4 linked regions of the Schizosaccharomyces pombe genome follow. The gene in region 3 interacts genetically with the main gene of each other region. Each region holds a gene or a part of one and is shown on either strand. Other genes may lie near its edges. The genes, in order: asl1, trm61, gsk3 and dad2.

Region 1 (5,754 bases), 740 kb from region 3:
TAAAGCAAAAGGTGATGTCTCATTCCTGAAATTTCAAAAACGGCTTTCAAGAGCGCCTGACCAAATTATGCGTTATTACCATGCGACTTCTAATGAATTTCCTGGTTTATGGTGCAATAATGAATGTATACCTTCATCTATACCCAATTGCGCTTGCGGAGCTAAAAGGCAGCTTGAATTTCAAATTTTACCTACTTTGATATCAAGTATGAATATTGATCATTCTGCGAAAAATGCTCTGGATTGGGGAATATTATCTATTTATGTTTGCTCTGCTTCGTGTGATTTAGCCAACTGCGGGCTGGCCGAAGAACTTTGTTGGCTTCAAACTTTTTCAGAGCAAGGAATTATAGCACCTGAATGATCTCCTATACGGCGGCATATATTTATGGAAAACGGAATTTAATTAGTGTTTATTGTGCAAATAGTTACGGGATTCTTGACTTTTGAGATGGTTGCTTTCGTCCGGTTGAAAACATTTGTAAGAGGGGCATGAGTAGAGTTTCTTTTTATGATTACAGTGAGTAGAGCAGGTTAAGAATCTAGTACTAGATTACTCGGCGTAAGTTAAATCTGCTGCAAAGAACTATGCAAAAAAAAGGTTACTTTAATAAATTTTTCGCAAGAGATTCGAGATAACTTTTTCTTTTAATATCTGCTAATTAAGTTTGTGATGTCTCTTAAATTGCTCATGCTTCTAATATCCTATAGTTCAATAAGCCTTTTCTTGTTCGTGTGTCCAAAGTTGCTAAGACCTCCTTTTGAAAAGAGGCAAACAAGCATGTAAAGAACACCCAGATATCAAACCACCCACAATGGCGCAATGGAGAAATAGTTGTTTTATCATTACAGCAGTCAATTATGCATTTGTTTTCATTTTATAGACGAGACTTTCGCTTATTATTTACCTTTATACTACAGATCATCAACAATGTCAGCAAATAAAGTTAAACGACTTTATCAAGAGTTCCAAAGCTTACAGAAAAGATTACTAATAAAATTTAAAAGACATTTAACGACTGTATTAAATTAAAACACGCAGCATATTCATTGAATACACGCTTTAAAAATTGTGACATCAAACACAATGAACTTCATGGTTGGTAAAATAAACGAATGAATAAATGAAAGATCGATGTAATAAGAAGCACATCTCCTATAAGCATAGTTCAGAAAGCTTAAACAATCTGATAGATGGCAGAGTATTCAAAAAAAAGCGACAAAAACCATGAAACAAAATATCATAAAAAAGAGTTTCAGAGCAAGAAGAAATAAGAGTATTTGACAGTTTAAAGAACGAAAAAAAAGCATAAGAATTACCATTATATCTCACAAGATAATTTCCCATTTTGTGTAAATTTAAGGAGTTCAAGAAATATAAATCTCTCCGACTTCACTTAATCCACCAGAGGAACTGATAAGGGCATTGTTATTACCAACACCGGCTCCGAGTTCGGTAGCAGGAGCAAACCAACTGTAACGCTCAACAGATCCATGTCCATCTAAAAAGCCAAGAGCGCTGGTCATCAAAGTCTTAACTTCATCCAATGAAGGTAAATTGCTATCATCCCAGTTGGTGCAAGCAAATTCAGTAAGCCAAATAGGGAGACCGTAATTGGCGAGAGAGTTAATATAATCTTGCAAATTGCTAAAGTCAATACCATACCAATGGCAAGCAATGAAATCGATCTTACAATCAGAGCATGCGCTCATGAATTCAGAAAGCCAATCTTCACCTACGTTACTGATGGCAGGTGATCCCAAATAACCAATGGCACCAGATTCACGAAGAGGTGTTAAGTATTGAAGATAATAACTAGCTGCAGTAGCTGCATCTATAGGATTTCCAGCAGCGGACAAATCAGGCTCATTAAATCCAATGACGGTAGCACCACCAGTGAAAACAGAAGAAGCTGAAGAAAGGCTATTGGCATCATGTTGGTTGAGAACATATTCAAAAGAGGAACTCAGACCAGATGAATAACTACCCCAGTTGTAATACCAGTTGATGCCCTTATTGACAAAGTTATCAGAGTAACCAAGGTCAGTTCCAGGAATCCAGGCCAAACCGCGCTTGCCAGAAACTGAAGAACTAGTAGGAGATGCTGATGCAGAGCTTGAGGTAGCACTGGAAATAGTACTAGAAGCAGCAACAGAAGTGGCACTAGAGACAACAGAGGAAACGACAGCTGAAGAGGAGGCGGCAGCTGAAGAAACAGCAGGAGTACTAACTCCCTTGTTAGCAGCAGAAACACTGGCACTTGCAACTACAGAAGAAAGAGCAATAGATGATGAGGAAGTGGGGACGTAAGATGTAGCAGAGCCAGCTGATATCTCTGATGAAGAAGCAACTGAAGACGAGACAGGAGCCACATAGGATGAAGTTGACGTAGCAACTTCAGAGCTAGCAGGATAAGAACTAGTAACTTCAGTACTAGAAGCAGAATAAGAGCTAGCAACTTCAGTACTAGAAGCAGGATAAGAAGAGCTAGATTCGGAACTGGTAGCAGGATACGAAGTGAAAAATTCAGAACTAGAAGTGGCAGATGTCTCGGGAGTTGATACAGGGACAGAAGTATTGGACCATACGGGTGCAGTAACGTTGTCCATAGTATATAGAGGAGTACTAACAAAAGTGGCAGGGTAGCTAGTGGCAGAGGAACTAGCAGCAGGGGCACTGGTTGTTACAACCACAGATTCCGTAGAGGTAGTAGGTAAAGCCGTTGAAGCACCATCGTCGGACGACTCGGTAACAGAAGCTAAACCAGTGGAGTAAGAAGTATATGAGGAAGATGAGTTAGCACCAGGAACTGCGGTAACATAAACAGTCTCCAAGATAGTCTCATACACGGTTAAAACGCCATCATCATCACGACGGTGATGGCGATGGTTAGGAGCATAGGGCAAAGCTCCAACGGTCGATAAAAAAGCTAAAGCGACGGTCGCGAAAGTAGTACGCATTTTTTTAGAAAATACTAGATAAAACGCGTCTAATACTAAAAAAAGAAAGAAAAGATGAAATTTGGTATATAGTTGATATATAAAAGAGTGGAAAGGAGTGTTGCTAAAGAACGGACAACGACTCTTATAGACTAGCTTCTACTGTGGTGGTTGGTGAACGACAAGCCGCGTTCATTATCAAGCCACTCATATATATACCAGTTATGAAAATTTGATTATACATAAAAACTTTAAATATAATATTTATTAAATTTGCTGAGTAAATTCAATTTTTTAAAATCAAAGTCAGACTCATATTGAGGGAAAAATGAATCTGAGTCGGTTACCACTGAAACACCAGGTCCACCTAATTGAACATCGTAAATAGAATTTTTATGGGCTAATAGTGATTCTTTACATAACTTAAATTCCTCTTCTTTGCACTCAGGTGTTAATAAAGTAATCGTACAACCTCCACCACCGGCACCTGTAAGCTTCGTCCATCCAATTGACTTAGTGGCTTGTAAAACGCGATCAATGGAATAATGGGATACACCCAAGCATTCTAAGAGTTTTTGATTAAGAACAATAAACTCTCCTAACTTTTTAGCGGAGGAGTTTTTATCGCTCTCCGAAGTCAATGCGAGGACGGCAGACTTTGATATGCCATCGATTGCATCTATTATTGAGTCAATCACAGTTGGTAGTCTTTCCTTCAGTTCAAAAACTCCTTGTACAAGTTTTTTAGTACTTTTTGGTTGTTTGGTATCAGTGATCATAACAGATAAGGTATCTTTAGGCTTTAAGAATTCTTTCATGGCACTCTGATGAGCTGTAGCTTTACGAAAAGCGATAAGTCCTCCATTTGTTGCTACTGCATTATCAATACCACTTGGTGTTCCATGAATACAGCATTCACCTAGAAAAGACCAAGCCTCTATCAACGCAAGTGCTTTGTTGTTTTGAAGAGAATTTGAGCTAGGAGGTTCAATATTACCAAAAGCTAGTAGTAAACTTGTAGCGACAACAACTGATATAGTAGCACTACTACCTAATCCAGCACCCAAAGGTACTTGGGAGCTAATAGTTAAAGTACAACCCTGAGAAGGAGAAGACAAAGACGTGAACAAGTAAAGGGTACAAAGCATTGCTGAGTGAATAAGTCCGTTTTCTTCATTTTTTAATAGCTCTCCTAATCCTTGTAAAAGGTCCAGATTGGGAGATGATGCCGGGTGCTGAACGTTTTCCACTGTTACATGCTGCCAAGGTAGCGATTGAAGATTCCATCGGCGTTCGGTCCCTATATCACTCATCACAATTACTATTTCATTGTTATTAGTCGTCTGTAATTTACAGTAACTCCGTAACGATACAGCTGCAGCTAACGCAGTCTAGAAAGTTAGCATAAAAATTTAAATGATCTCCATATTTTCGCTTTAAAATGGCTTAAGATTAGAATCAAAAATAAGCATGGCTATAGCAGAATGACATTTGCGACGACTGTCAAAGTTAAAAGTGGTGTTCGCTTTGCAAATACTATGTTACAAAGAAATCATATATGCATAACAGAGCTGTATCCAGTACTAGCCTGTTAAAAACTCTCGCTAATGTAATCTGCTTTAAACCTTAGGTAAACTTACAGCTCCATATACAACGGCATGTTCCCCAAACAAAATCGTTTTTCCTGGCGACGAAACAATAAGCGATTTTGACATTTCAGAAATTTTTTTTACGTTCAACTTCAAAACACAGTTAAAATAAGGTGATGGTAAATAGGCGACGAAGGTTGGTTATCGACAGATATCTACGCAAACAGGACAAGGTGATGATGGTATTGGAAGTTGTAGCAAAAGATTGGTATTTTAATTAAAAAGTTACTTTATTTGATTTTGTTTTAAAAGTTCTTTTGTAATAAAAATCGCGATGTTATAGTTTTCATATGCGCTAAGGAAAATGACTTTTTAAACGAGGTATACAGCGCAAAACTCGTTAGACATTTACATAAAACCATAAAATACTACATTTATAGCTTATAGCAAGAAAGCAAGAGCAAGTACATATATGATGAGTATTGATAACATAATATTTAAATAGACAGCTAAGCAAATTGAGAAGTAGTGTTCAGGTATAAAAAAATGCTGTTTAGTAAGTACATAATCTGATGAATTCATTAAAAAGTTTACTCATTAACAAATTAAAATATCTTAAAATAGCCATGCAAGTTATTCTCCCGTACAAAGTCTAATAAATAAATAAAAAATACAACCAATAAACCGAAAAACCGAGAAAGCAACGACGCTCCAAAGTCTATTATAGTTAGTCAACTGATAAAACAGTCTTGAAATCAACGTACAGAAACGACAAATAAGCGCTTGTTTCATTGTTTGAAATAGAGATCCCGTTAATTTTTGGTATACTTAGAACAATTCCTACCAAAAATAGGTTTGAGAGAATCCAGGTAAGCACAACATACGTTCGAAAATTTTTGTAAAAATCCTCTTGCTCTCCGTGATTAATGATGGGACTGTTGAATTCTAATGAAGGAGATGCCAGCAGTTTAACAGCATCCTCATACTTTGCATCAATGTCTGATTGATTTGTAGGAATTGCTATTTCTACATCAGCTCCTTTTTGAAGGAGTCTTGCAACACCTAGATCATTGTTGGTAAAGTGATCTCCTTTGGTACCCCAAGAAACGTCATGTGTGTTGCAAAACGCATAAACATTTAATACATTCGTATACATTATTGAAAGAAAAATGTATTGCACAAACGAAGTGAACATATGCCATGGATCAAAAGAGATAATGGATAC
Region 2 (6,368 bases), 1.1 Mb from region 3:
AGTTCAAAATACAATGACTAGTGCTGACATTCGGGATGTCTTTGAATTACCTCCTCCTGAAATAGGAAATAAGCAGAAATCTAAAACTCCAACAGAGAGAAGGCCAGAAGGAATTTCTCGAGAACTTTATTCATTGCTAGGCGAGAATTCTGCCCCGTTAGCAATATACCAAAAGAAATTTAAGGAAAAACCAAAAGTTAGTCACAAAGCTAAAAATTGGTGAGTAAATCAGAGCTCAAATAAATAAATTTGTGTATTCAGTAAGGAATTTACTAATTTGTAGGGTACGCCAGCCCTTTTCCATATCAAGCCGTAAGGATGATTTTACTTTGCATCATTGGGTCCTTAAATCAGAAGTAGATTCTGAAGCCTGTATGTTTGAAATTTTATTTGATAAGCGCTTGGTTAAACTAACCTAAACTGTGTAGCATACAAATTTGAAAAATTTAACGTCCCTCTGTTTATAATTGACTACACCGACGAAGAGTACCAAAATTATTTAAAAGGTTGAGATTCTCTACTATATTTCATTAACTAATTTGTTGTAGATGAGGATTGGAATAAAGATGAAACCGACTACCTATTCCGTTTATGCAAAGATTATGACTTGAGGTTCTTTGTAATAGCAGATCGTTATGATAATGAAAAATATAAAAAACATCGAACGCTTGAAGATTTAAAAGACAGATTTTATTCTGTGTCGCGAAAAATTCTATTAGCCAGGAATCCCATTAATTCAATGACTGCTGCACAGAGCTCTTTGTTGAATACGATGGAGTACAATAAAGAGCAAGAAGTTATTCGGAAGAAGTATCTAATTGGGCTTGCTTCTAGGACGCCTGAAGAAGTTGCAGAAGAAGAAGCTTTATTTATTGAATTAAAACGTATTGAAACATCACAGGCTAAATTATTAAGTGATAGAGACGAAGTTCTCCGTCTATTAGATGAACAGAAAGGAGATGGTGGCATTCATGAATATCACACAAGTGCTGGAATGAGCAGTTTAATTCAAGATATGATTAATTCTCAAAGAACCAAAAATAAAGTGGAGGAAGCTATTGTATCTTCTTCAGCCCCTTCTTCTGGAGTGTCTAGTGTTTTAAATACCCCTACTCGTCCACATGCTCTCAGCACACCAAGAATCAGATACGGTCCGCAACCGACAGATCCACAATTTGGCATCACTTGGCACGAAAAACTACATCCGGGCACTTTTGTTCGTTCCCAAAAAATCCCTGCCATAAAGGCTTCTTTATCGCAGAGAGTTTCGTCAGTTATGACTGAACTAGGAGTTTCTTCAAGGCTGATTATGCCGACAGCTAAAAACTTTGAGAAGTTCGTTGAGCTACAAAACTCAATCGTTTCGCTACTGGAACTGAAAAGAAAGGTAGATAGACTATCTCAGGAAACTGAAATTCAGGACAAGTTGAGCCGTAAACGCTCAGCTTCTCCTGACGGCTCCGAGAGTAAAAAGCACATAAGTCAATAATTCTATGACATTATACTCGATCTCAATTTGGGTAGTTACGTTTTTATAATAACAAGTTTTGAATGTTTGACGCGTTAATATTATTTTTTGTACCCTGTATGTCATTTACCGTGCCTGTGTGTCCTTTGGAGTACTTCGGCCTATTTTCACTAAATTTCTGTTTTGCATAAATATGAAAGTTATCTAAGGGCCTGTCTCCTGGTTCTGTTTATCTAGCTGAGATGGCAAATGCACCGCAAATAGCAAATAACTGGTGTGTGATTTTAAGTTAGAATCAACTCTTGCAACATCTGTCCATTCGTAATTTCCATCACCTTCTCTAATGCGTTTGTTAGTAACGGGCTTTAACGCCGTTTCTGTGGACACAGAAGACTTGTTTTCACCAAGCATTGAATCGTTATCTTGATCTTCTACCTTCGCATCAGAAGATAAGTTTTGTTCACGCCTCATTTTTCTTCTCTCAAATCCTTCGATCCTCCTTCTTTTAACCTCTTTTAGCCTATCGATTGCTTCGTCAATATGAACAATTCGACTCTTACGAGCAGCCCATTGCTTATAATCAACTTCAATCATTTCAATATCACACCAGCCAAGTTCTCGTAGTGCTTCAGCAGAATGTTGAATTTGTTCTATACAAGGAGAAAAACAACAAATTCGAGTGCTTTTATCATGATTTACATGATTCGAAAGATGCGGTATTGCTTCCCAGGGAGCTGGAAGGTCTAAAAATATAGCGTCAACCTTTACCTCCGTATCCAAAAAACCATCTTTGCAGACATCTCTATGAGTTAGATGAGTATTTCCACCCACATCAATTAACATCTCGTGTTCCCGAAATTCTTGTAACGCTGTTTGATAGCGAGTTGCGTGATATTCGAAAGTAAATAATCTTCCAAGAGGGCCGACTGTTCGCGATATTGCGTGTGACATGCTAGCACTACCAGTACCAGCTTCTATTACTCGGGTTCCGTAAGTGATACGAAGCTTTTGGTGGATTAAAGCAATATCTGGAGTGTAAACAATTTGTGTTCTGTGAGGAAGAGCGAGGGTCCATAGTTCCGGAGTTGGTTGAAGAAGGTAAATAAATCCTTGCTTCGCTGTAGATGCAATTTGCTCGCCGTACCTTTTACCAATCATTTCGGAATGTGGGAAGGCACCATATTGATTATGAAATGTTTTTTCAGCTTCTATATGTAAAGGAATCAACTTGTTCCTACCAATCCAAGCTACTGCCAAATCGCCATTTTCAACACGTTGTTTATAGTCTGCAAATACCATTATAAATTTCAAAAAAACATATAATATATATATATATATATGTATTACGAAAAATTAGAAGGTAGTGTTATTTAATTGCGTTTTAACAAATCAATATAATTAGCCAAAGAAAAATTGGGACTTAATTTTTCGTTGGTCTAAATTACCGGGTGCATTCACGATTATTGAAGAGTTAATAAAATAAGTCAGTGTGAAGTATATGAAGATCCGCTCAAATCTGTAATTTTAAATCATACAAGACTGAAGTAAAGAAGTTTTTAAAACTAATGTGTTGAGATAAATTTTTTTAGTCTTTTCAAGATATTATGGTTAACCTATCCCTACGCCCACTATGCTATTATTTTAGTTAACATTTGTTTAGTGTAGCCATGTTTCATTAGTTAAATATTAATAACGATATCTCACATTAACTCTCAAAGCTACGAACGTAAAATTCGTTAAATAATTTAGAAAATGCTATCAATGCTGCCGTTAATTACTATGCTGCCACGAATTAACTTTACACTGCAACAAGTTAGTACTTGTATATCAACTAAAACAACGATTTTGATCATCATATTACCTGTGTAGTAACTATTTTCTTGAACAATATAATGAACATTAAATCAATAACTTAAATGCATACTTCCCAGCAATCTATTTCTGTTACGTAGTATAGAGGTTTTTATATATTTGCCAAGCATAATTTCTGGCATTCAGAATCTTTATGAAATTTAATGAGCAAACTAGTAATGATAGTTAGTATATTTACGAGACGAAAGCCCGTTAAAAATATAATGAGGTATAGTGATCATATAGTTATATCGCTAACGAGTGATTGCAACGAAGCTTCGATTATCTATTTACTTAGACCTTCCGTTTTTTACCATTTATGCTTTAATAAAACTAATAACAATTCTCTTGCATTTTTTGGAAACTTTTTTATTTAGTTTGGAAGCTTTTAAGTCAATATTTTACAGACCGTTAAACAAAGGAAATATACTATTCATCTCTGCGCGTCATGAATGAAGAAGAGACAAACTTCGTTGGAATTGCGGATTTACCTAATCAGCGTCACAAAATAGTTTCACGAAATGGTGTAGCTTTCACTTTGATGCTTTGTGGAGAGTCGGGTCTTGGTAAAACAACATTTTGTAATACACTCTTTTCAACAACAATTAAATCACATATGGGCCCGGAAAAGGTTCGTGCGAAGCATGCTGAGAAAACGGTCGAAATAGAGATTACAAAAGCTGAGTTAGAAGAAAAAAATTTCCACTTAAGGTTGACAGTAATTGATACCCCTGGTTTTGGGGATTTTATCAATAATTCAGGATGTTGGGAGTCGGTAGTTGAATTTATAGAAGACCAGCATGAATCGTACATGAGACAAGATCAGCAGCCAGATCGTCGTAAGATCATTGATATGCGTATTCATGCTTGCCTATATTTTTTGCGTCCCGTAAGAAATGGTGTTCGGCCTATGGATTTGGAGGCTATGAAACATATTTCTAAGCGTGTCAATTTAATTCCTGTCATAGCTAAAGCCGATATGTATACTCGAAGGGATTTAGCTCTGTATAAAACTAGAATTTCTCAAGTTTTAGAATACCATCAAGTCAATGTTTATAAACCTAATATGGATGAGGGCGATCCCGTTTTTCACAGACAAATTCAAGGAATCATTAATTGCATGCCATTCGCGATTGTTGGAAGCGAAGATGACATCCGTACTCCTGATGGTAGGGTCGTTAAGGGTAGAGAATACCCATGGGGAATTGTTGAAATTGAGAACGAAGAACACTGCGACTTTAAACAGCTTAGGAATATTTTAATTCGGAGTTGTATGCTTGATTTGATTCAAACTACTGAAGAAAAGTTGTATGAGCAATATCGACAAGAGCAGATGAAAGTTCGCCAGTATGGAGAACCTAAACTGCGGACTATTGATAATGCGAAATTTAAGGAAGAAGAAGAAAATTTGAGAAAAAGATTTACAGAACAAGTGCGCGTAGAAGAAACTCGATTTCGACAATGGGAACAACGCTTGATTGCCGAACGCGACTCATTAAATAAAGATTTGGAAGCTCAGCATGTTCAAATAAAACAAATTGAACTTGAAATCGAACGACTAAAGGCGGCTACCAGCTCTCGCAAACGTTAGAGATAATGTTAAAATATAACGAAACTTGATACCCAATTATCATTTGGGTTTGTTTGCTAGTGAACCATACTATCATCTTTTATGGTCCTTCATTTCTAATACATAATGTCAAACGTCTATCTTGCCTCCCGTATAAATTACATTCTTTAGACAATCAATTAACTATATGATTTTATTTTATTTTTTCTATGCCTTTATACACTCTTTTATTGTGGTTTTATTCAACGTATAGTACATATGCTTTCATAAGTTGCTCAATTTTTATATAATTTTGATATCGAATAAATTTTCTGTATCTTATAAAATTTCTTGCATAAGTACTTAAAATTTCTCGTTTTGTGTCTTTCTGAAATAAAATTGTGCAATGTGTGTTTATAGTCAATGCTTAATAATATGTTACAAATATTTAGCTACATGACAATATGATCTTTCATTGCCTTGAGAATGGCTTTCAAAATTGTTTCTATAAATGTGAAGTAAACTATTTAGTTAAGCAATACAAATGCCTAAAAAATATTTGATAGTTTTTTGGAATTCCTAATTTGTATTATGCGAATTTCTACATCATCTTCCCTTTTGTTTTCTGTAAAAATGATTATTTGGAGTATTGTTGATGCGTGTGTTTGAGTGCACGAGGCTTTGTTTATTTCATAATAGGTCAGCCCACGCAGTGTCTTGGTTGTCTTTTTCCAACAATTAGCTGAAAAGCGCAAAAGGTCCAAACAGCACCTAATAGATTTTAGAAGTATTTAAAAAAGGTGATTTATTTAAAAAATTGATTTAAAGCATAAGATTGTCGTAATCATGGAACATGGCCTCTCGCCAAGGCTTCAGCAATGTGAATGAAGATGAACCCGAGTTGCCCCCTTCGGTTTTATCATTGAAATCAAAGTTCGAGTCATTGAGTACCGGTGACCTAACTAATTTGGACGAAAAAACTGCTAAAAGAAGAACTGTAAAAGGTTGTAAAAATGGCACTTCTGAGCCAAACGTTTTTAAAGCAAGACCTATTCCACCGCCGAGGCAAGTCTCATCGACTATAGGAAGTTCGACTGGACGAAAAGTTAGTGGTTCAATTCAAAGGCTAGCTTCTAATTTTAAAAATCCTTCAAACCCCCACGCTGATGTTTCAAAAATAGATCGTCTACCTAGTGATTCTTCTGAATCTCACGTAGCTACTCCATCTTCTCCTACTATATCTAATTCATTTGTTTCTGTTTCTCCATTACTTAAGCGACCTCAACAAAAAGGGCCTGAAATTTCTTTTCAATCATCTGTACAATCTACCAAAGGAAATGATCTAATGAAACACGATGATACCAATAATCATCAAATACCACCCCCTAAACCCAATTTTTCTTCGAAAGCAGGTTCTTCAAGCCCGATATCTGTATCTCCATTAAAAAATGTTAAGGCATATATTTCTCAGTCTCCAACTCACTCCGAAGCCTCTTCGGT
Region 3 (5,909 bases):
GTTTTTTGATAAAAACTTTAACGAAAAAGATAACTCGGTTTCCTATTGACTAATTAATAGCAGCCAACTAGATATCGCAATCAAAATCAGACCATTTTTTGGTACTTCTTATACGCTACCACCGGTCAATAGATTTTAAGCAAACACCTCAATGGACTACCTACTCAACTATGCTGACCAATATGCGCTGGATTCGATATACAATGCTGTATATCCATTAGCTCGCGACAATATCGTTAGACAGTCGATCAGTTTGTTTTTTTTAACTTGGTTTGGCGGTATGTTCTTGTATTTAACATTTGCGTCGCTTTCCTACCAATTTGTGTTTGATAAAAGTCTGATGGATCACCCAAAGTTCTTAAAAAACCAGGTGTTCATGGAAGTTCTAACGGCTTTACAAAACTTACCTGGTATGGCGTTATTGACGGTTCCGTGGTTTTTGGCTGAGTTGCATGGGTACAGCTACTTATACGACAACATCAGTGATTACGGTTTAAAATACTTCTTATGTTCCTTACCTCTTTTTGTCATGTTCTCAGATTTTGGCATTTACTGGGCTCATCGTTTCCTTCATCACCGTTATGTATACCCTCGTCTTCACAAACTCCATCATAAGTGGATTATCTGCACTCCATATGCATCCCATGCTTTCAAATCCGCTGATGGCTTCTTACAATCTCTTCCTTACCATCTTTTCCCCTTTTTCTTTCCCCTTCACAAGTTGACCTACTTGGCTCTTTTCACCTTTGTCAACTTCTGGTCCATCATGATTCACGATGGTAAATACATCTCCAACAACCCCATCATCAATGGTGCTGCTCACCATAATGGCCATCACATTTATTTCAACTACAATTACGGCCAATTCACCACCCTCTTTGATCGCCTCGGCAACTCTTTCCGGGCCCCCGATGAGGCATGGTTTGACAAAGATCTTCGCCAAAACGAGGATGTTCTTCGTGTCGAATTGATGGAGTACGAGGCTATTCGTAATGAAGTTGAAGGTGATGATGATAGAGAATACATCGCTAACTCTGCTAAGAAGAACCATTAAACAACATATCTAGACTCAGAAGAGTTTGTCTCTGAAAAGATTTTACTTTTTTTTTTCGTTTTCATCATTCCCATTTCATTTTTCCCCGTTGGTTTTACTCTTTTGGTCACGTATTTCTATTTCTATGGTTGGTATTACATGCATTATTTACCCGCTCTACCTTCAGTTGCTATAAAGGAACAATGTGAGCGATTTTATATATCCTTTGCAAACTTTTTGCTAATTTACATTTCGAGTCTCTTTAGCATTCCCAAGTTTGTTTTTTTTCGGTTTATTCTTTTAGAACGATAAATCCAGAAAATTTGGAAGTCTCGCATCTAGTCATTCACTCCTTTCTTTTCAAATGACTTGTTTTTTTTGCTTTGCAATTTCTTACCACCTCCCTTTTGAAACGTTGTTTGTTCAGTTGGGTTGATTGGTACTATCATCTCACAAATAATTTACTTCAAATACACTCGTTTTTGCTGTTCACGTCGTTGTAGTTGTTTGCTAGTTTCGTATACGAAATGAAAATTTTGCTCTTATCTTTACTTTTCTATTTTGAAATAAAATGAATGTCAAGCTTACACATGTCATCGACACTAATTTTGATTTGCAATAACTAGTAACTATTCGTTTGTAAACCACTGCTAATTAATCAAAAATTACCAGACTCCTTTCCATTTATTGACTTAGTATGTAATTAGATTTACATGTTTTTCTATTTCTATTTACATATTGATATCTAACGTTGCCAGATGATTTCCTAGAATTTTGTACCCTTTTGATGTTTGCTATATCTTAGGTAGTATTGAATCATAATATTACTTCGCCTCACCAGCTTCTTTCATGTAGTCTACGAAGCAAAAACTTAGTAATGACTCTACCAAAAGAATTTTTAATGAGGACAAAAAAATGAATTAAACAATAATAAAAACAAAACATTCTTTTGAAACCTAACCATAAAATATTAATTGAATCAATCACAAACATTTTACTAGTATAAGAATTATGATATATATGTATATATGAGATTCTGCAGTATACTTTCCAGAATGAAAGAATTACCGATTACATTTCTCATCCAATTAAAGTTTTAAAGTCGCTGAAAAACTTTCAGCAAACTAAGATGGTCTACTTATGACTCCTAAAATAACAATTAAGAAAATAATCGTGATCGAAAAAATTTAGTTCTCATCAAAACAAAATTCAGGTTTGATTTATTCAACACCAATAACGACAAAAAAAAAGTGAACGAAAAGAATATCCACACAAGTAGACCATTGTAGAATCAGTATAGATAGCGATTGGTATATGTACGCACAACAAGGCAGATTCACTGGCTATATTAATGCGTAATACAACAAAGAAGTAAAATAAGTTTGGTGGCAAAAATGGATATACAAGAACTTTAGAAGATGAATGCATATACCCGTTACATTTAATCAATTCGGGCACGATGAATTGGAATTGGAACAAAATCATCAAGTTTCACGGGTAAAGCATCGCGAGCATGGGACGGAATTAGTTTTTGGTTAAGGTCAGGACGAATGGATAGTTCGAAGGGGGAAAAATTAAACAATTCGGGTAAATGACGAGGAGAAGCATCGGGATTACGAGAGTTATGAAGCTTAGTATTAGGATCCCGAAGCTCATCAAAAAAGGGATGGCACATTGCCTCAGCAGCAGTAAGGCGATCAGTAGGTGTATATTGAAGCATTTTTGATAAGAGATCCAATGCATCAAGGGGAACACTTCGAGAAAACACTCGTGAAAGAGGCTGTGGACGTATTTGTGGGAATCGATGTTCCATATAATTAGGATTCATAGTCTTTATTTGTTCTCGACTAGGAGTACCGAGAATTTTGATAATCTCTACCAACTGATCAATGCCACTTTCACCGGGAAAAAGAGGATGTCCAAGCATAAGCTCAGCCATCACGCATCCAGTAGACCAGATGTCAATAGCGTGAGTATAATCAGTAGCTCCAAAAATCAATTCTGGAGCTCGATAATAACGAGAACATATATAAGAGACATTTGGTTCACCAGCAACCAAGATTTTTGCGCTACCAAAATCACAAAGCTTTAATATTCCGTTTTCCGGATCTAATAGTAGATTTTGAGGTTTGATATCACGATGGCAAATACCGCTAGCATGAATGTAGGCTAAAGAACGCAAAAGCTGATATATATACAATTTGACTTCCAGCATTGGCATAGAAAGTTTTTGACGAGTATATAGACGAGAAGCACGATAAATCGTTTCAGGCATAAACTCTAGAACCAAATTTAGATAGACTTCATCGGAATTATCACCGGTGGTATAATAGTAGGCAATTAAATCGACAATATTTGGATGCTTCATAATTCGCATAATTTGTAACTCCCTATTCTAAAATTAAGTGTTAGAAACAAAGGTTCATTGGAGAAGATTTATAATACTGAGTTTTTTTATAAATCTAGAAAGAAGTGCAAAAAATGGAGGAGGGAAAAAGGAAAAATATGTTCAAAACGAATACACTAAATTTTCAACGCATCCAAATACTGGCTAAAAAAAGCTTGTGTATCGTACAATGGATGCAAAAAAAAAGCAATAGGCATTTGAGTTGTACAATTTCATGACAACAGGTATGGTAAGCCTGTGGACACTTCAAAGAAGAGAAAGCACAAAAGCAAGTAATGTTTTAATAACACTACTCTCTTACCATTTATGGCATGTAGACGACCAATCTTTTGTAAATGAATCTTACGTATATTGACGAAGCACGCGCGCTACGTATCTTCAGCGTAAACAAAAGTGTGCGGTTTTCACAGAAAAATAAAGTAAAATCTAACCCTTCCTTTCGCATTTTGCATTCAATAAAAATACATACCTTAAACCGTTTATCTTGCAAAACGCGTTTTATAGCGGCTTTGCTGTCTGATTCAATTAAATGAACCTGCATGACCACGCCAAAGCTTCCAGAGCCCACAACTTTACTCGAAGTGTAAGAAAGTTGCTTCACCTCTCCCGTTGACCCATCACGAGCGGTTTCCTTTATAATACGAAAGGGGTCCACAGGAACTATTTATACGGTTAGAACAACAGCACTATCGAAGTTAGCCAACTTACTTTTAGTACCATGATTCATTATGGATGATGATACAGAAATGTTAAATTACAAAATGAAAAAAAAGCTATCAGAGGACTTAAAAAGGAGGTTTTCTTGGCGTGATGAACGTGGAGTACGGGTTGTGGTAGTGGAGGAAGTTCTACCATAGAATAATCTCTGGGGTATAGTAGCATGATACAAAGTGCGTACTTCTAAGAGGTAACATTACGGGACATGAGCAAATCATAAAACTGTAAACTCTCGGCGCAAGTATCAAAGAAAAGAGGGTTCATTCTTTCCTCTTATTTATTACAATAACCATAAAAAAGTACGTATATTAATGAAAAATTCGTGCTTGAGAAATTGAATTCATGGTTATTAACCATCTTACGTATACGCGATTATCACATTGTGAGTTTTAATTCCTCCAGTCCGTTATATTGAATAGTGTTACCGAATTTAGAGTGATATACTTTGAAACTGCTAGAGCAAACACTGAATTCGATGTGGATTTTAGAAAAGAAAAACATATTTTTTAAAATAATTCACATAAAATCTAGTAGGAAGTTTGACTTTTCAAATGCCATCAGAATTGTGCTCCTACCTTTCAGTAGCAACTGCTGTCGCAATTCATATACAGTAAATAATGGAACATTCACAGGGAGACAAATTTATACTAGCATATGCAAATCGCGTATCCCTCCCTGTCTCAAAGGAAAAAATGGAAAAACTACGAAATCAGAGAGCGAACCAATGTCTCAGAAGCATCTCAAATATGTTAAAAAATACATAAACAAAGTAAGAATCCTTAAAAAATGAATGTGTATAAATAATGTCAAACATTCATATATAATATATAACACGAGTATTAGTATGCCACACCGCTAAAGGAGATTATGCTTGATAGCCTACATCATTAAAGCCATTTTGCAAGTCGATCTATTAACTCATCAAAAATCTTGTATTACGTGTTTTGTTATTTAAATATTGCGCACAACCTTAGCTTCGGTCAATTTATTATATTAGCTAATAACGCCTTAGTAGGTTGGCTTGGCACGTAAATAAAGTCAATTGAACACATTTTATACATAAATTTTGAGATTTCCAACTGTCTCTTCAATATCCTTGTTGATTTGGCAGTTTTAGAAAAAAAAATTCAGCTTAACGTTTTTATACCATATATTCATTAAGGTCAAGTTTCGTCCACTTTATCGCACCACGAAATTTCCATTTGTACCACCTTCAAATTGCATCAAATAGCCTGATTACTTAGTATTTAAACGCAGTTATTCCACTTTTGATTGTCTATCTGTTCATATTATTCCTCCTTGTCTTTTCGTTTGGATTTTTAACTCACTTCTAGTCTTTTTTTGATAACTGTTGAACAAATTATATCTCTTCTAGCCATCGGACGCTGATTTTCATTCCTTTCTTTTTTTTTACTGTTATTTCGTTCATTTTAGCATTTTTGGCACTATCTCATTTGTTTGCATTTGCGTTTCCTTGTTGAATAGTTTTTTAGTTTAGGGGAACCATGTCTGTCAGTACTAAACGTCTTGAAATGGATGAAGAAGCAGAAGAGGCTTTTGATCTTTTTGACGTGACACACAAAGGGTACATTGACTTTGAAGACCTTCGAAGATCTTGCGCTCAACTAGGGGAAAATTTGACTAAAGAACAGCTTCAGTTGATGCTCGATTTAGCTGGCACTAATGGTAAAGTATCGCGTGAAGAATTTGCCGAATTGTGGATTCATATATCTTGAGATTGTTTATCAATGG
Region 4 (4,683 bases), 1.9 Mb from region 3:
GTCCGTTCATCGCTTGCAAAAGGAGTCAATAGGATATCACGATAATTTGGCAACCTACGGTTGTCTAAGATAAAATCTTGTTCTACACACGAATTTAAAGTATTTTAAAAGAAAGAAAAACAATTTCTTTCGTAAATAACTGCTACAGATTATAAACGAAAATTTTTAATAAACAAGAACCGGTAATCGCAGATTCGAAAAACAATTTCATAAGTGAAACTCTAGACCATTAAAGAATATAAACAAAATAATTTTTCAATCATGATAATTTTGAAGATGATTGATTTCGCATTATTTTTTGTTTAATATTCTAGCCATTCCAATAATTCAGGAGTAAAGTAAGTCAAAACTATGTTAGCGCCAGCACGCATAAAGCCATCCATGGTTTCCATCACATGTCTTTTTAATTCAAATACGCCAGCGGCAGCAGCAGCATGAATAATGGCGAATTCGCCTGAAACTTGATAAGTAGCAATAGGAAGGTCATCTGCTAGCTTAGAAGCCATTGCCAAAATATCGAGATAAGGTGTTCCCGGTTTTACCATAATACCATCAGCACCCTCTCTAACATCGCGAAGAATTGCTCTTTTGGCCAAGCCACGTGCATTACAGGGAAGTTGATAACAGCTGCGATCACCAAATTTTGGGGCACCATTAGCAGCAGCTCTGAAAGGACCAAAAAAACCAGAAGCGAACTTTGCAGAATAGGAAATAACGCATACTTTATGAGACAGTTCCAACTCTACAAGTTTCTGCTTAATCGCCTTAACACGACCGTCCATGCAGTCACTAGGAGAAATTATTTGAGCGCCTGCCAAGGCATAATTTCCACTAACTTCAGCAATTCTCTCAACGGATTTAGCATTATTGATAGTGCCATCTTCATATAACAGACCACAGTGGCCGTGATCAGTATACTCGCAGAGACAAACATCACAAGCAACAACCAGCTCCGGAAAAAGGTGACGAATTTCTTTAACGGCTTTAATAACTGGTCCATTTTCGGAATCGGCCATGCTACCACAATAGTCCTTTTTGGACTCGATGACACCAAACAGAATTACACTACGAAGACCTTTTTTGACGAGAGGACCCAAAAACTCTTCCAATCTATTAACACCCCATCTAAATTGATTAGGCATGCTATCAATGGCTTCCTTAGCATCATCTATTTCGGAAATGAAGATAGGATACATTAGAGATGACTTGGTAATGGGACGTACACCTTGCCATTCACGAAGCAACGGGTTTGAATACCCAGCATGCAAAAGAGAACTGATATCAACAGGCATATTAAATACTAACTGACAAAATTTATTTGATTTTTCCTAAAGATGTAAAACTGCGTAAAAAAAGCAGATTTGTGACAAATGGAACTAATGGACCAGCAAAAGCGCCTTTTATTGGTTATTTAAAAAAGTTCTAGCGGAAGATCAACAAGATTTCCTAAGAAATATTTTTAAAAAGGTAAGTGGCAGATGGCGAGAGGTTGGCGAAGGTTAAGATAAATAAGTTTAACTTTTTTTTAAAAAATCGGGCATCGGACCACGATATTTGTTGATTACATAACAATAGTATCACTCCTGAATAAATTGTTTGTCCTTGAAGAAATTAATTGTCGTAAGGGAATGCTGGGAGTATTCAAACAAGCGAAACAGGACGAACGCCAAAAGAAAATGACCAAATGAAAAATTTAGATATCATTTAGTTTACAAGGTGATCTCATTCTCCATTTCATTAGGAAGTGAAGATACTTGGAACTTGGGTTTGCTGTCGGCTTTACCAATTCTGAAATAGAAGAAACAATATGAATAAATGGACAGAACAATAATATTTATTTTAACCAATTCTTGGCCTTTTCTACTTCAGTGAGAAATTAAAAAGAGTATTTAAGTCTTTATACCTCTTCAACATCGCCTTGCTCCGTAGCAGATGCGTTGGTATTTGAAGTAGAAGGAGGAATTCGGACTAAAGCTCCTGAATGTTGGGATGCTATCTGTATTGACTCAAAAATGCTGGGCCAATTATTGAGAACAGTAGCAACAGCTGATTTTGTTAGTGATTTGAGTGTCAAACATTTATTATAATGGATTAAAAAGAGTCGTCAAGCATGTATGAGTAGTAGTGAAAATAGAAAAAATAAATAAATAAACAGATTATATTTTTTACGTTTAGGTGAATTATTGAGAGGTAGAAGTTCATTTAGAGACATGTCGGCAAATGATTGCTTTTATTTGCAATCCTGCAGATCCAATCAATTCACTTGTTTCTTTGCTTTTCTCAATGTAATGATATTTATACTTGTTCACATGAATAGCACTTAAACAGATTGGTGACAAGGCTCTTTTATATACTTTCCTCGTAATGAACATACCTTCACTTCCATCTGTTAAAGTTTCCAATTTAGCAGCAAGCGTTTCTATTTGTTGAACCATATCATTAGAAGAATCTCTTAGTTTGCATATTAGTTCGTATTCCTTTTGCTTTTCCTCAATCCTTGCTTGAAGCATGTTCACGCCAAATGTTTGTAGAAGAAGGTACGAAATTTACTAGATTTATCTCCTACACCATATAAGGCGATTTCGGTTTTGTAATTATACGTTTAAAACAAATAATTTCCGTTTCTGGAATTTTATATCTCGGAATGTATTACTAATAAAGAGGTTGATAATAGAGACTAACAAAAAATATAATGATTGATTTTACTCAATTTTAACCATTTGTTTTCATCTTTAATAAATTAGTTAGTTCATTAATTTAAAGTAATAATGAATTTAGGAAACTATGTTGAATAGTGAATATAATTACTCAAATAATGGGTCAAGTTTAGCTAGCTTATTATATCCATATTTTACTAAGTAAGTATGCATTGCTTCATCCCTCTAAAGTTTTAAAGAGGATCAAAACTGTGCATATTCTCTACTATTTCTTCTTTTATTTTTATTTTTATTTTTTTTTACACAAGGTATAATGGGCTTAAAAGACTTTTAAGATTTGGGTTCGATAGTATATTCTTTTGGTCAACAAGATTGTCAACGTTCCGATACATAAGGAAATGAATTTTTTATTCTAGACAGGATGCAACTTCCACGTATGTTTTCTAAAATTTGAACCGTATTTGACTAATTTAAAAATTCATAAAATGTCTCATCCACTATTGAAGTTTCTTCAATGATCGGTTCCAACGGGTCGTTAAAGAATACCCAACTTTTTTAGAACAAATTATAATAGAGTGGCTATTATCCATTTCTAATTAACAACTTTTTAACATACATCAAACCCTTGTTTACATGGTAATCGAGTATTTTCCTTCGCAAAAATTCACTATTACTCCAAATACTCAGTTACTGAATTGTTCGATCTCACAATTAAATTTCGCGCAGTATGTTATTATATTCTATATACAGTTTTAGAATAACGCACTTTATACATGGTTTTCGGCAATAACGTTTACATTTATATAACAATTAAACAAGTTATAATACCGTTATATCACAGAATGTCCCTGTAAATAAAAGTCAGTAAATAATCTATAGGAAAGAAAAAAAAGGAAAAGGATAAAAGGGTTAGGGGATTGAAAGGATCATTGATTTAAAATCTTTGGGTAGTAGCATCTTTATGTATCGCAGTACCGATGAGATCTTCTCCATTTTTGTAAAATTATTGAAAGAACTAATGGTAGGAATACTAAACATAAATTATCTTGTAGTTTTATTCAATGATCAAATAGTTAAAGATTTGGATGATTTCGCTACATTGATACTTGGATTCTATGAACAGCAAAACAATCGCTTTCCCTTCATGCTGAATTAACATTTCGATAACTAAAAACAGATTCTATACACTTTAAGTTCAGAGAATTTAAATTGTTGTTTTTTCCTTCGGCCCGTCTTCAAAGAAACACACTCAATTCATTACTGAAACTGGACTTGCTAAGAGTATTGTTAAAAGCGTAAAGCACACATTAATGTCTTTTGGTAATCCAAACACCAGTAATTATGTGTAATTATGAGTTTTTTCGATACAATTATTACGGTTAGAGGAAGACATGGTTTCCAAAATCATTATGCATTTCTTTCGAAATCAATTATCGATGTTTCAACCATCAACTGTTTTCAAATTGGTATTAATTAAAGAATGTAAGAAATAGAAATAAACGCTGTTTTCCTTTAAAGCAATACTTGATGCTTTATTTGAATTATCTCATTCATCCCAACGTGAAGTTGACGATTCGCTGTAAGCGAAAAATCCTTACTTAACTTCAGGTTTAAAGCAAAAAGAAATCAACAATAAAAAGAAATGTTAACGTGAGTTATGTTCGCGTTGAACTTTGTATCGATGGGGTTGTCACCGTTAAACGTCGTACTAGCTGTGGGTGTCTTTATCTCACTGCGTACCCTCCTTGTACTCATCAAAATACCCCATTTCGAAATGAGCTGTGTAAGTCGTCAAATACGCGATTCGTTTACTAATTTGATTATGAAAATAGCCTATAGATTCCAAAAAACTTGAAGAAATTTGCCTAGAAGCTGCTCAGCCGGTTTTGAAGGCTTCCGAATATGACGGAGACAAAACAGCTGAAATGAATCAATCTGTTATTGTAAGTTCATTTTATTTTACAAATATCTATGTATGGTAGCTAACTTTATGTCTCATTTAGTATGCCGTATTAAATGCTTTGAA

Evidence for each region.
Region 1: mutations in gsk3 (region 3) and asl1 together harm fitness less than expected from each alone (positive genetic interaction), as found in Schizosaccharomyces pombe (2 studies listed by BioGRID).
Region 2: mutations in gsk3 (region 3) and trm61 together harm fitness less than expected from each alone (positive genetic interaction), as found in Schizosaccharomyces pombe (2 studies listed by BioGRID).
Region 4: mutations in gsk3 (region 3) and dad2 together harm fitness less than expected from each alone (positive genetic interaction), as found in Schizosaccharomyces pombe (2 studies listed by BioGRID).

What each region holds. Positions count from the first base shown.
Region 1 is NC_003424.3:190,928-196,681, forward strand, and holds asl1 (O-glucosyl hydrolase Asl1), read right to left. Parts: upstream 3,124-5,754; 5' UTR 2,962-3,123; coding exon 1,369-2,961; 3' UTR 1,001-1,368; downstream 1-1,000. Other genes in the region: tsr402 (SSU-rRNA maturation Tsr4 family protein), read left to right, coding at 1-364; mevalonate kinase Erg12, read right to left, coding at 3,192-4,331, 4,581-4,655; chs1 (chitin synthase I), read right to left, coding at 5,163-5,247, 5,294-5,754.
Region 2 is NC_003424.3:1,990,329-1,996,696, reverse strand, and holds trm61 (tRNA (m1A) methyltransferase complex catalytic subunit Trm61), read right to left. Parts: upstream 3,041-6,368; 5' UTR 2,768-3,040; coding exon 1,673-2,767; 3' UTR 1,490-1,672; coding exon of another isoform or gene 549-1,489; 3' UTR 507-548; downstream 1-506. Other genes in the region: Swr1 complex/NuA4 histone acetyltransferase complex subunit Swc4, read left to right, coding at 14-219, 284-372, 429-506, 549-1,489; mitotic septin Spn4, read left to right, coding at 3,768-4,910; inp53 (inositol polyphosphate phosphatase), read left to right, coding at 5,722-6,368. UniProt on the Schizosaccharomyces pombe protein: Catalytic subunit of tRNA (adenine-N(1)-)-methyltransferase, which catalyzes the formation of N(1)-methyladenine at position 58 (m1A58) in initiator methionyl-tRNA.
Region 3 is NC_003424.3:928,197-934,105, reverse strand, and holds gsk3 (serine/threonine protein kinase Gsk3), read right to left. Parts: upstream 4,276-5,909; 5' UTR 4,168-4,275; coding exon 4,149-4,167; exon of another isoform or gene 4,101-4,148; coding exon 3,910-4,100; intron 3,429-3,909; coding exon 2,475-3,428; 3' UTR 1,909-2,474; downstream 1-1,908. Other genes in the region: C-5 sterol desaturase Erg31, read left to right, coding at 152-1,054; SPOM_SPAC1687.23C (uncharacterized protein), read left to right, coding at 4,633-4,947; SPOM_SPAC1687.14C (calcium-binding protein), read left to right, coding at 5,663-5,893. UniProt on the Schizosaccharomyces pombe protein: Interacts with cdc14 which is thought to play a role in the initiation and completion of mitosis. Involved in the positive regulation of mis12.
Region 4 is NC_003424.3:2,783,639-2,788,321, forward strand, and holds dad2 (DASH complex subunit Dad2), read right to left. Parts: upstream 2,655-4,683; 5' UTR 2,511-2,654; coding exon 2,375-2,510; exon of another isoform or gene 2,344-2,374; intron 2,047-2,343; coding exon 1,898-2,046; 3' UTR 1,521-1,897; downstream 1-1,520. Other genes in the region: porphobilinogen synthase Hem2, read right to left, coding at 303-1,292; dynein light chain Dlc1, read left to right, coding at 4,432-4,440, 4,490-4,600, 4,661-4,683. UniProt on the Schizosaccharomyces pombe protein: Component of the DASH complex that connects microtubules with kinetochores and couples microtubule depolymerisation to chromosome movement; it is involved in retrieving kinetochores to the spindle poles before their re-orientation on the spindle in early mitosis and allows microtubule depolymerization to pull chromosomes apart and resist detachment during anaphase.